Callithrix jacchus: one gene and its partners. The protein of the gene in region 3 purifies or fractionates together with the protein of the main gene of each other region. This does not show direct contact. Links are inferred from orthologs where the notes say so. Each region holds a gene or a part of one and is shown on either strand. Other genes may lie near its edges.

Evidence for each region.
Region 1: the proteins of WDR76 (region 3) and CAMK2D purify together in Homo sapiens (affinity purification with mass spectrometry; 3 studies listed by BioGRID and IntAct, counting the BioPlex papers as one, with this or other methods). This does not show direct contact. The link is inferred for Callithrix jacchus from reciprocal best matches to the Homo sapiens genes WDR76 and CAMK2D.
Region 2: the proteins of WDR76 (region 3) and CCT2 purify together in Homo sapiens (affinity purification with mass spectrometry; 4 studies listed by BioGRID and IntAct, with this or other methods). This does not show direct contact. The link is inferred for Callithrix jacchus from reciprocal best matches to the Homo sapiens genes WDR76 and CCT2.

The regions. Positions count from the first base shown.
Region 1 is NC_133504.1:83,672,640-83,676,290, reverse strand, and holds part of CAMK2D (calcium/calmodulin-dependent protein kinase type II subunit delta), read right to left. Parts: intron 3,449-3,651; coding exon 3,326-3,448; intron 2,496-3,325; coding exon 2,412-2,495; intron 1,952-2,411; coding exon 1,909-1,951; intron 1-1,908. UniProt on the Homo sapiens protein: Calcium/calmodulin-dependent protein kinase involved in the regulation of Ca(2+) homeostatis and excitation-contraction coupling (ECC) in heart by targeting ion channels, transporters and accessory proteins involved in Ca(2+) influx into the myocyte, Ca(2+) release from the sarcoplasmic reticulum (SR), SR Ca(2+) uptake and Na(+) and K(+) channel transport.
Region 2 is NC_133510.1:72,142,334-72,145,984, forward strand, and holds part of CCT2 (T-complex protein 1 subunit beta), read left to right. Parts: intron 1-435; coding exon 436-536; intron 537-755; coding exon 756-883; intron 884-1,265; coding exon 1,266-1,369; intron 1,370-3,651. UniProt on the Homo sapiens protein: Component of the chaperonin-containing T-complex (TRiC), a molecular chaperone complex that assists the folding of actin, tubulin and other proteins upon ATP hydrolysis.
Region 3 is NC_133509.1:31,488,170-31,492,420, reverse strand, and holds the start of WDR76 (WD repeat-containing protein 76), read right to left. Parts: upstream 2,875-4,251; 5' UTR 2,822-2,874; coding exon 2,762-2,821; intron 1,900-2,761; coding exon 1,498-1,899; intron 1-1,497. UniProt on the Homo sapiens protein: Specifically binds 5-hydroxymethylcytosine (5hmC), suggesting that it acts as a specific reader of 5hmC.

The DNA of each region.
Region 1 (3,651 bases), on a different chromosome or scaffold from region 3:
ATATATGGGTACATACATTAATCAAGGCCCAATTTATGTCCAAGATTGTATTTAACACTTTGACAAAATGTACAATTTTAAATCTGAAGATTTTTAAAAGTTTGGGTTAGGTTGACATTAACAATTTATACTACATAAATCATCCTACCTTTTAATGATTCACTAATTATTGGAGCACAGTGAAATTTATTTGAATATAGTATATATGAATTAATATTTAATGAGATGGCATTGAACTCACCCATATAACTGTCAACCATACTAATCAACTGTTTATGAAACAGGTAACTTGACAAAGGCAGCAACAAGGTTTTATTACACTAAACAAATTGGACAAAATACATACAACGGACCAACACAGTCCCTTAATTTGTAGCATTATTCATTGTACTACTGTGGTTGTTTAACAGCCTTTGAAAGGCCTCTTATGGTTTCCCACTAATTGTAACTAAATGCAAAGGTGGGGGAGGAAAATGACCGCCTAGTACAGTTGTAAATAATAAGCAGAAGTTGGTTGAAGAACACTTAGCAATGATATGATGGATTATTATCAGGTAACACTATAACACCCAGGCTAAGTATGTAGCAGAAAATAAAGAATTGAAAAAACAGCTGGATAATTTGGTGCTGCAGATCACTGTTATGTAAACAATACACAAACTAAAGTGGTAGTATTTTTGGCACTAACGCTTAACAAGTGTTCCAAGTCTAAAGGGCCAAAGGTTACCAAGTGCAGCTTAAATGCTGCTCCAGTCCTTCCCCCCACATAAGACTGCTTAGCATTGAACGAGATTTGACTTTTGGGAACATGGTCCTTTGAGATAATCTATCAAAGAAGAAGGTTGCAAAACTCAAGTAATTTCTTTGAGTAATATATACTTTATCTCAATTTTTAGAGAGTGACTCTTACAATAAAGAAATGGTTTGGTTTCTTTCTTTCTTTTTTTTTTTTTGTTGAGATGGAGTTTCACTCTTGTTGCCCAGGCTGGAGTGTAATGGTGCAATCTCAGCTCACCTCAACCTCTGCCTCCCAGGTTCAAGCGATTCTCCTGCCTCAGCCTCCTGGGTAGCTGAAAGTACAGGCATGTGCCACCATGCCTGGCTAATTTTGTATTTTTAGTAGAGACAGGGCTTCTCCATGTTGGTCAGGCTGGTCTTGAACTCCTGACCTCAGGTGATCCGCCTGCCTCGGCCTCCCAAAGTGCGGGGATTACAAGTGTGAGCCACCATGCCCAGCCTTGGTTTGCTTTCTTTTAGCTTATTATTTAACAAACTTATTTTAACCATGGAATCATTTTGAGGAAGAATTTATTATGCACTGATAATACTGTATGTAAGATGCTCTGTAAATTCTTGGGTTAGATACCTTTGACAGTTGTAATCATTCTTATAGCATGCCAAGGAACTACTATACTTTTGAATGAACTTAGGTCTAAGAGAACTGGTTCCTCAATAATGGTCTTCTTTTAAAAATCTTGCATACTGGAATTCCCTATGAAAATGAGACCAAAAATAACTTATTCATAGTTATTACTTTATGAAATATCAATAGTAAATTCTAGGTGTGAAATGCTGAGATTGCAAATGAGGGAGTATTCATTTCCACAACTTGTACACACCCCAGCATTTGACAGATGAGGCTAGTTCTGCACCAGCACTGACTGGTGGCCAGAGCTGCCAGAAGCACTCTTGTGAGGGGTGCAGTCACAGAGGCTCTGTGGCAGACAGCTCCCAGGCAGACTGCTAATGGCAGCCACAGGTGTAGAAGGAATCTGTGCCACACATTTGCCACCCCTGAACAATGAGGTTTTTCTAATTATTAGATTTTTTAAATTCCATAGACAAAAAAACAGAGACTACTTAAAAAGAACACCAAAGGATAAGAAGTAGAGTAATCAATGCATGTACCTGAGAAATTCCTTGTAGCCAGCATAGTTGTTAAGATGGCACCCTGTCAAAAAAATTAGAACACAGAAGTCAATGTTGCCTATGCAAACCCTGGACCTAACAAATATACCGTCTTTGATAACAAAGCTTTTACTGGCCCTACTTTCAGTTAGGGGATTTTTGATTGTTTGTTTTTGTTTTTTGGTTTCCTGAGAGTCAAAGGCCTTTGTCTTTCATGATGCTGGGACCGCCCTCATGTGCGGGCCAGATTCTCATTATCAAATTGCACAGCTGTTTTCCATTGAAGAAAGGACCCACAGCATGTGTTGCCAGAATGATTTGAGCTTTTCATCATAGTTTTGATTCTGGTATATATTCCATTTTCCCAAGACCCAAAAAAAGAATAATGAGAGTATTGAGGTCTACATAACTGAAAGTCTTTGCTAGAAGTTATTTTCCTCATATAGTATTTCACTTCTCAGTCTGCCAAATCTACTTCCCCATAAAAATGTAAAATTTCTTACCTTTAGTTTTCTTCTAGCATTAAATTTCTTCAAGCAGTCTACAGTTTCCTGTCTGTGCATCATGGAAGCAACAGTAGAACGTTGCTAGAAGAGGAGGAAAAAAAGTGACTTAATTGAGAATATGTAAAACATGCTAAATATAATATCCCTGACTTCATCAAATCTTTATTAATGGTGCTGCACCCTGCATGATCAACTTCTAAGTATTCAATGGCCAAACTTACCTAAAAATAAAATTTCAGTTTTGCCAAGATTACTTGTGACTGAGATGCAACATTGATGTACAGAAAATACAGAAATCAATATTAATAATTTCTCAAATTGTCTTTATTTCAGTGTATTCATCACATTTTGACTGGACTACCTTTCATTTACTTAGTGCCATATTTGTTCCCTTAGCAACTGACACATTAGGAAATTTACTGAAGTTTCCAGATCCCCCTCAAATTTCACACTATTTTTCTTAATATTTTAAAAATACATTCAGACTATTATGACCATTCTTTTATGCCACTAAAACTACTCTCAGCCACCAAACTTCATACTTGTTTCTAAAGTTGCCTAATGACAAATAATTGAACTTTGTTAAATCTTTTCTTCTGGGACACATTTAATTTTGGTGTTATTTTCTTAGCCTCATTCATGAGTATTGTCAATAATTGATATGGAGTATACTCATTCCTTTGCTACTGCAAGCAATGTTTATTTAGCAATCTAGGCTATTCAAAATTTGCTATTGAAAACTGCATTTTTGCCATCATACAATTCATTTGCTTAAACACCTTGAGTCAAAAATTCATTCTTTCTGAGTTTCCTCTTTTTTTTTGCAAAATTATTTTAAATCCATAAACAATATATTAAAGGAGAGCTTATTTTTCATTTTAGCTCTTGAAGTTTTGGGAAATTTTACTTACACAGATCCATGGGTGTTTGAGTGCCTCTGAGGCTGTGATACGTTTGGCAGGGTTGATAGTAAGCATTTTATTGATGAGGTCTTTGGCTTCAGGAGTCACCGTGTCCCATTCCGGTGATGGAAACTTCAAAATTATAAATTTATAAAAAGTTTTAAAAACAGACACACAATCAAACAGGGCAGCATCAACTACATGAATCATTCCCTCAAGCAGTGAATTTCTTCATAAATTTACTTTTATATAAGTGAAATTGTATTTAAAATAAATAAAACCATTTAGACCTATTCTCCCCATCTATGCAGAAAACTACATATATTAAAGAGTAT
Region 2 (3,651 bases), on a different chromosome or scaffold from region 3:
GCTGTTTAATTTTACTGTCTGTGCTGTGCTCTCATATTTTCTGTTTTATACATTATTTTTTGATTTTGTAGTAACTTCCAGTGGAATGCTTTATACCAGGAATGTCCAAGGGAGAGAAAACAGTCATGGGTTCTTAGTTTCTGTTTCTGGTTTGGCCAGTAAAGCTCCTTCATCATCCCTCCTTTCTGCTTGTCACTAGAGAGAGAAAATCCATGGCTTTCAAGCTGCTAAAAACCTAAAACAAAGCAAAACAGCAACAACAAAATAAGGCGGGTTGGACAAGCTTGCTTTTATACCATCTAAGAGCTTGGTAAATTGGACTTTAATAGCTCTAGCTTTTTTGAAATAGTAATAAGATAAAGCAGACAGCTTTATAAGATTTACTAAGGCTGCTTTGAAGTATTAAATGTGATACCGTTCTTATATTTATTATAGGCTTTCTGTTGGATAAAAAAATTGGAGTAAATCAACCAAAACGAATTGAAAATGCTAAAATTCTTATTGCAAATACTGGTATGGATACAGACAAAATAAAGGTATGTAACTCTACTTCTTAAAAATTCAGATTGCTGGCTTCTGTAAACTGAAGAATCAGTCACACTAAAAAGCTTGAAATATGTATGAATCTGTTGTATATATATACATATATTAGTTTTTGATATGTATGTTAGTAAAAATGTTGAAATATGCTATGGGACTCTTTTTAAAAAAGAGTAATGAAACTGATGCTCTTTTTATGCTTTTCCTTATCTTAGATATTTGGTTCCCGGGTTAGAGTTGATTCTACAGCAAAGGTTGCAGAAATAGAACATGCGGAAAAGGAAAAAATGAAGGAGAAAGTTGAACGTATTCTTAAGCATGGAATAAATTGCTTCATTAACAGGTCTGTTTGCTTGCAGGAAAGGATTTTTTTTTTTTTTTAATGAAAATGTAAGGAATAGTTTACTTACACTGAGTTAGTGATTTGTTACTTAGGAACTGCTATACATAACGTCACTTAAATTATGGATTTTCATAATCAGTAAATTGTGATTTATGCACACTGTGGCCAGAATTATGGGATCAATATATACAGTTACTTTAATAAAGAACACCTGTTTTCAGTGCTAGCATAGATGTGCTAGTATTATAATTGATAAATTCCAATTATACAGGTAAGAAAAGCAACCTTGTTCTAATGTAAAAATGTTTACATGTTTTTTAGTCTAATGTAGTTTATCTTGTAACAGTTTTGAGCATAATGTTTTTATGTATTTTATTTACAGGCAGTTAATTTATAATTATCCTGAACAGCTCTTCGGTGCTGCTGGTGTCATGGCTATTGAGCATGCAGATTTTGCAGGTGTGGAACGCCTAGCTCTTGTCACAGGTATGGAAGAAAGGTATTGTTTTCTAACGAACACAGTAGTCACTCTTGGATTTATTATTTGTTACTATATACAATTTGCTGAGAAAACAAATGAGTCTCTTTAAGGAGTTAGAATTTCAACAGTTATTCTGAAATCTAATTCATACTCTTCAATACCTTTAATTTAGATACATTATATTTACTATACCAAATTATATGCCACATTTGCCATTGGTACAGATTTTTTTCATTGTGTCATTGTTTTAAAGGTAGATTTTTGGCTGGGTACAGTGGCTTATGCCTGTAATCCCAGCACTTCGGGAGGCTAAGGCAGGCAGATGACTTGAGCTCAGGAGTTTGAAACCAACCTGTGCAACATGGTGAAACCTGTCCCTACCAAAAAAAAAAAATTAGCCAGATGTGGTGGTGAGCACTGTGAGCGTAGCTGCTTGGGAGGCTAAAACATGAGAATTGCTTGAGCCCTGGGAGGTGAGGTTGCAGTGAGCTGAGATTGTGCCACTGTGCTCCAGCCTTGGCAATGAGACCGTGTCTCAAAAAAAAAATTTTTTTTTTCTCTCACAAACCTGTAAGACCACTGTTAAAATCTGAACAAACTAGAGCTTTAAAAAGAAGTCTTAAGTTTCTTTACCTTTATCTAGTTTGTTCATTTATTTTTATTGCCAAGTAGTTGAGTGCTTTGTGTCCTGTGTAGTAGTAGTACAGTTAAAATAATAACCTTTATTGAACACACTGTATGCTGGAGAGTGGGTCAAGTACTGAAACATTGCTTTTGTTAATTTTTAAAAATTTCTGAAAGCAATAAATGTTAGAATAAGTGAAAACAGTCAACATTGTATAATGAAAATTAGTATATCTCTATACCCTTTAATAGAAGCGTGAGTGATACAATCCAGTTGTGTCAAATAGAAATTGTGTTTATAAATCAGATATATCTGTTTACATCAAAATGACATAATGGTGCAGGCTGATTGCAGTGGCTCATGCTTGTAATCCCAGTGCTTTGGGAGGCCAAGGCAGGAAGATCACTTGAAGCCAGGAATTTAAGACTAGCCTGGGTAACATAGTAAGACTACCTCTACGAAATATTAGCCAGGCATAGTGGCATATGCCTGTAGTCCTAGCTACTTGGGAGGTTGAGGCAGGAGGATCTCTTTAGCCCAGGAGTTCAAGGCTGCAGTGAGCTACGATCCCATCACTACACTCCATCCTAAGTGACAGAGCAAGACCCTGTCTCTTAAAAAAACAAAAGTGTAACTTGTTGCTCTTTATTCTGGTAATGGTTTAAAAAAATTTGTTTTATTAAATTTTTATAGATTGAGCGGGTATAAGTATAGTTTTGTTAATTCTAAGTAGCCCTAGAAAACTAAGTTTAACAAATGTTTCCAGATTTTAGGTCCTTGAAAATGAATGAATAGCTTGGAAAGTTGGTTTGAGAATGGGAATTAAGGAGACCTGGAGGCCTGTGTTAGGAGCTGTGAAGTCAGTAAAACTGTCATACTGTCTGGAATGACCATAAGTGTTAGAAGAAATTAAAGTGTACTAACATTTGAAGAGTGGACTTGGTCTCATCTCAGATGATCTCTTAAGACATTTTTTTAAATAATTTGAAAAGCATAATCTTCTGACCAAGAGGCATTTTCCTTTAATTACTTGAAGTGGATTTGCCTCCTTTAAAGTTCTTTAGGAGCTGTTGCATACTTGATGCTTTAAGGTGACACATAAAATTTAAGATGCTCATGTTTATGTGATTTTTTAGTGCCACAAAATGAAGATTTAAGAAATTCAAGTTGTATGATGACATTGGTTCTTGCAAGTGTCATTAAGTAAGTGTCTTGTGTTGGGCATGGTGGCATGTGCCTGTAGTCTCATCTGTTCAGGAAGCTGAGGCAGAAAGATTGCTTGAGCTTGGGGCTGTAGTGTGCTATGATGGTGTCTAGTGAATAGTCATTGCACTTCAGTCTAGGCAACATAGCAAGACACTGTCTCTTTAAAAAGAAAGAAAAAAAGTCCTAAGATCAGAGTCTTTATGAATTTATTGTAAAATAAATAATAGAGCATTGGCAGATTTATCAGTAAGGAATAGGAAAAGAAGAGTTGATTGATAATATATGGAATCCACATTATGAAATGAGTAGTCAGCTAGAGAAAAGGATTTTGACATGGAAACCTAACTTTTGCTTAGGAAGTAGGGAATGAAATGGCTGACCTCTTCAGTTTACAGCATGGAAGATGGAGGGAAAATAGGAAGAGAAGTGAGACATAAGGACTATAATTAATTTATT
Region 3 (4,251 bases):
TGCTGGGAGTACAGGTGTGAACCACCAAGTTCAGCCTAATTTTTGTATTTTTAGGAGAGATGGAGTTTCACCATTTTGGGCAGGCTGGTCTTGAACTCCTGAACTCAGGTGGATCCATCTGCCTTCTTTAATTTTTAATTTTTTTTTTTTTTTTGGAACAACTCTAATAACTGACCTATTCCTTTACATCAAACTAAAATCTGCTTTATATTTACCTTGTATTCTCAGAATCTTACAGTCTAAAAGGCAAAAGGGATAATCTAATCCAGTGGTTCTCAAAGTGCAGTTCTGGACTAACAACATCAGTGTCTCTAGGAAACTGTTAAATATGCAAATTGGGCTGGATGTGGTGGCTCAAGCCTATAATCCTAGCACTTTGGGAGGCTGAGGTAGGAGGACTGGTTGAGCTCAGGAGCTCAAGACCAGCCTGGGCAACACACACCCCTACCCCTACAACATCCCAATGTCTCTATTAAAGTAAAAAAAAAAAAAGGAAAAAAAAAAAAAAGATATGTAAATTGTATGCTCCAACTTCAAAACTTCTGAATCAAAAACTCTGAGGGTGGGGCCCTGCAATCCAGTCTTAAACTCTGCAGGTAATTTTGATATAGCCTAAAGTTTGAGAACCACAGATTTTATCCAGTCCCCTCACTAAGGTGATTTGTTTAAAGGAACAGGTTTCTTAGAAATGGCTGTGCTAGACTCTCAACCCCAAGTCCAATTCATTTAACACTTACCCCATGCTGTTTCACTATGAGTCCTGGTTCTTAACTCTGGGATGAGAGCACATAAACCAAATTTCTATTTCATAACAATGCCCTTCAATTATAGTATCTCCCTTTACCTACTATCATTTTCTGTTCCCTGAGTTCCAGCAACATTGTGTTATGTACTATGTTTGGTTTTATCTTGTCCTGTGTAAAGTTTGTCACTTTGAATGGAGCACAGCCCTCCTGGTAGGCAGAAGCCAAAAGAATTACAAACCAAATTACTTAAATTGATTGAAATTATATAGAACTAATGTGTTTCTCATGTATCTTCTCTACTCTGTCATTTGTCCCCTTTTGCATTTAAAGGAAATATATTCAACAAATCAATATAATTAATTAATGTTTCCCTACCCTGATATCAAGGGTCAGTCAATACCTTATGTCCCACAAACTGACGACTTCTGATATATTGTACATAAACATGTAATGGTGAGCAAGGCACCATAAAGTATGAGTAAGCCCAAAAATAAATGCAGTAAGTTTAGAGGGAGTAAAAGGGAAACAGAGTAAAGATTAAGTCAATCCTCTCATTGACACACAGCAAGAGCAAAATTAATCCAAGTAAGTTACTTGTTAAACCTTAAAAATAATAGAAATTTATTGTTACACATTAATGATGAAATAATTTGTTTGTATTAGAGAGATCCTTGATAAACTTCGCTTTATCAGAACATCAAATTTCCAAACTTTAAGAGAAACTAGAACAAGCTACTAATTAAGTTCTTACCAGGCCTGGTGTGATATCTTCAGCACTGTCTCCATCCTGACTACTTTCCGTATCAACACCGAGATTCATCGCATCTGTCCTTCTCTTGTGTTGTAACTTGTTACTTTCAGTATGAACAGCTGAGGATGGATTTTGCAGTGTGGATTCTGCCTTGGAAGATGTGGTTTTCATCTTTGGAGGTATAATCCTTCTGCAAGTTTTCTTTATTTTAGTCTTCTTACACGCCACTTCATTGTTAGAATTCTTTTCTAATAGGGATTTGGGGCACATAAGCTGGTCTAGCTGATAATTACTGAGTGAAAAGGGGGTAAGATAGACTGTAGCTGTTTTTATTGAAACTGTAGTCTGCACTGGTTTCAGAGACACATAAGCGATGTTTTGATTTTCTTTATATCCATTTACCTATTCAGATCAATAAAAGAAAAGAGAATATAAGAATTCCAAGTTCTGTGCCTTTCCTTACAGGATCCCTAACAGATCTAATAATTCCCATTTCACGATGACAATATAAATCCAAATTGAGGCCAGGTGAGGTGGGTCACACCTGTAATCCCAGCACTTTGGGAGGCCAAGGAAGGTGGATCACCTGAGGTCAGGAGCTCAAGACCAGCCTGGCCAACAGGATGAAACCCCGCTTCTACTAAAAATAGAAAAATTAGCTGAGTGTGGTGGTGCATGCCTGTAATCCCAGCTACTCGGCAGGCTGAGTCAGGAGGATCGCTTGAACCCCAGGAGGCGAAGGTTGCAGTGGGCCGAGATTGCGCCACTCCACACCAGCCTAGGCAACAGAGCAAAACTGTCTCAAATAAATAAATAAATCCAAATTGATAGCCTGTAAGAAAACTTTTTCTCCCTTCCAAAATCTAGATATGTAATTCATTAACCTTAACCTCAATAGAATTCATTTACTTGGCATATTTCTTGCCCATAAGAGTTTGCCAGACCAATAATAATAATGACTAGCATTTATGACAGAGGCAATTACCGCAACTGCCAGCTGCGGATGGAATGATTTAGAGTGTGAAGCTGACCATAAGTGTGACAAAAGCAAACGCAGAAGGCTGAAGAAAGCGAATCCCAGATCTGACCCTCCCGCTATTTCTAGGATTATTGATTAAACTTTTCGACGACGCTGAAGGCCTCAGGGCAGGGATCCCCGCCTACCCCCAATGCCAGGTGCTCTCGACCTCCCAGGCCTGTATCCCGCAGAACCCCACAGAAACCGAGGCAGAAGCACACCCGGAAGCACCAACCCGTTTCTCACCTTCATCTGGGGTCGCTGTCTGGAGTTCGCCTTCTCAGCCGCCGCGTCCGACCCGGACATCTTTCGGCTGCTTAGCGGCCGGCGCCTTCCCGCCAAGATTGCGGCAGGAGGCCGGGAGGGGTGGAGCGAGGCCGCGAGTAGTAGGGCAGGACGGGGCGGGGCCGGGACGCGGCGGAACCCACTAGCACCACCGCGGTCGCAGCGCAGTAGCAGGAAGACCCGGTTGCGCGCGCCTCTTAAGAAAGCCATCTTAAAGCCCTAGACTGAAAATTCCTTAGGGATGTACTTGGTCTGAATTGACATTTTTACCTTTGACTGGTGATTCTGATTCTGGTGGTACTAGGATGCCGCTCTGCAAAACACTGGCAGGCCGGGCGCAATGGCTCACGCCTGTAATCCCAACATTTTGAGAGGCCGAGAGGAGCGGATCGCTTGAGCCCAGGACTTCGAAACCAGCCTAGGCAACATAGTGAGACCCTATGTCTACAAAAAATACAAAAATTAGTCCTGCGTGGTGCTGTGCGTCTGTAGTCCCAGATACTCGGAAGGCAGGGGTGGGAAAATGGTTTGAACCTAGAAGGATGTAGCCAGTGAGGCATCATGCTGCGGCACTCCAGCCTGGGCGACAGCAAAACCCTGTCTCTTTTATAAATAAATATAAAATAAGATTTTGGCTATTCTTCTGTTTAAGGTTCCTTCTAGCCCAAAACTGTTTCCTTAGTTGCTTAACTGGGTCCCACACTGTTACCTGACTGAGACTGGTCCACCCAAGGCCCAACTGTATAGAATACAGTTGAAGTAATTTGGGTAAATCATATTAACAGCAACTTCAAGGCCCTCCACGACTCAAAAATTACTGATAAAACCAAACTTTTCATGGTGTCCTGTATAATGCACAGTTTCTGGACTGCAAGACTGTTTCTGCTGTCCCTTGTGTCCCCCACAATGATAAAGTCCTTCCTACTGTGAAATATGCCCTTTCCCTTTTTTTCTTTTTTTTCTTTTTTTACACAACCCAGCTGGTAAATTGGGGCTGCTTCTGTTATTATTCTACAAGTCCTTAAAGAGTTCTTAAATAGGCCGGCCGCGGTGGTTCACATCTGTAATCCCAGCACTTTGGGAGGCCGAGGCGGGCGGATCATCAGAGGTCAGGAGTTCAAAACCAGCCTGAGCAACATGGTGAAACTTCGCCTCTACTAAAAACACAAAAATTACCAGGTTGTGGGAGGCCGGAGTGGGTGGATCCCTTGACCCCAGCCAACTCGGTAAAACCGCCTCTACTAAAAATACAAAAATCAGCAGGGCGTGGTGGCGGGTGCTTGTAATCCCAGCTACTCAGAAGGCTGAGACACAAGAATTACTTGAACCCGAGAGGTGGAGACTGCAGTAAGCCGAGATCGCGCCACTGCACTCCAGCCTGGGTGACAGAACAAGACCCTGTCTCGGTGGGGCGCGGTGGCTCACGTCTATAATCCCAGCACTTTAGGAGG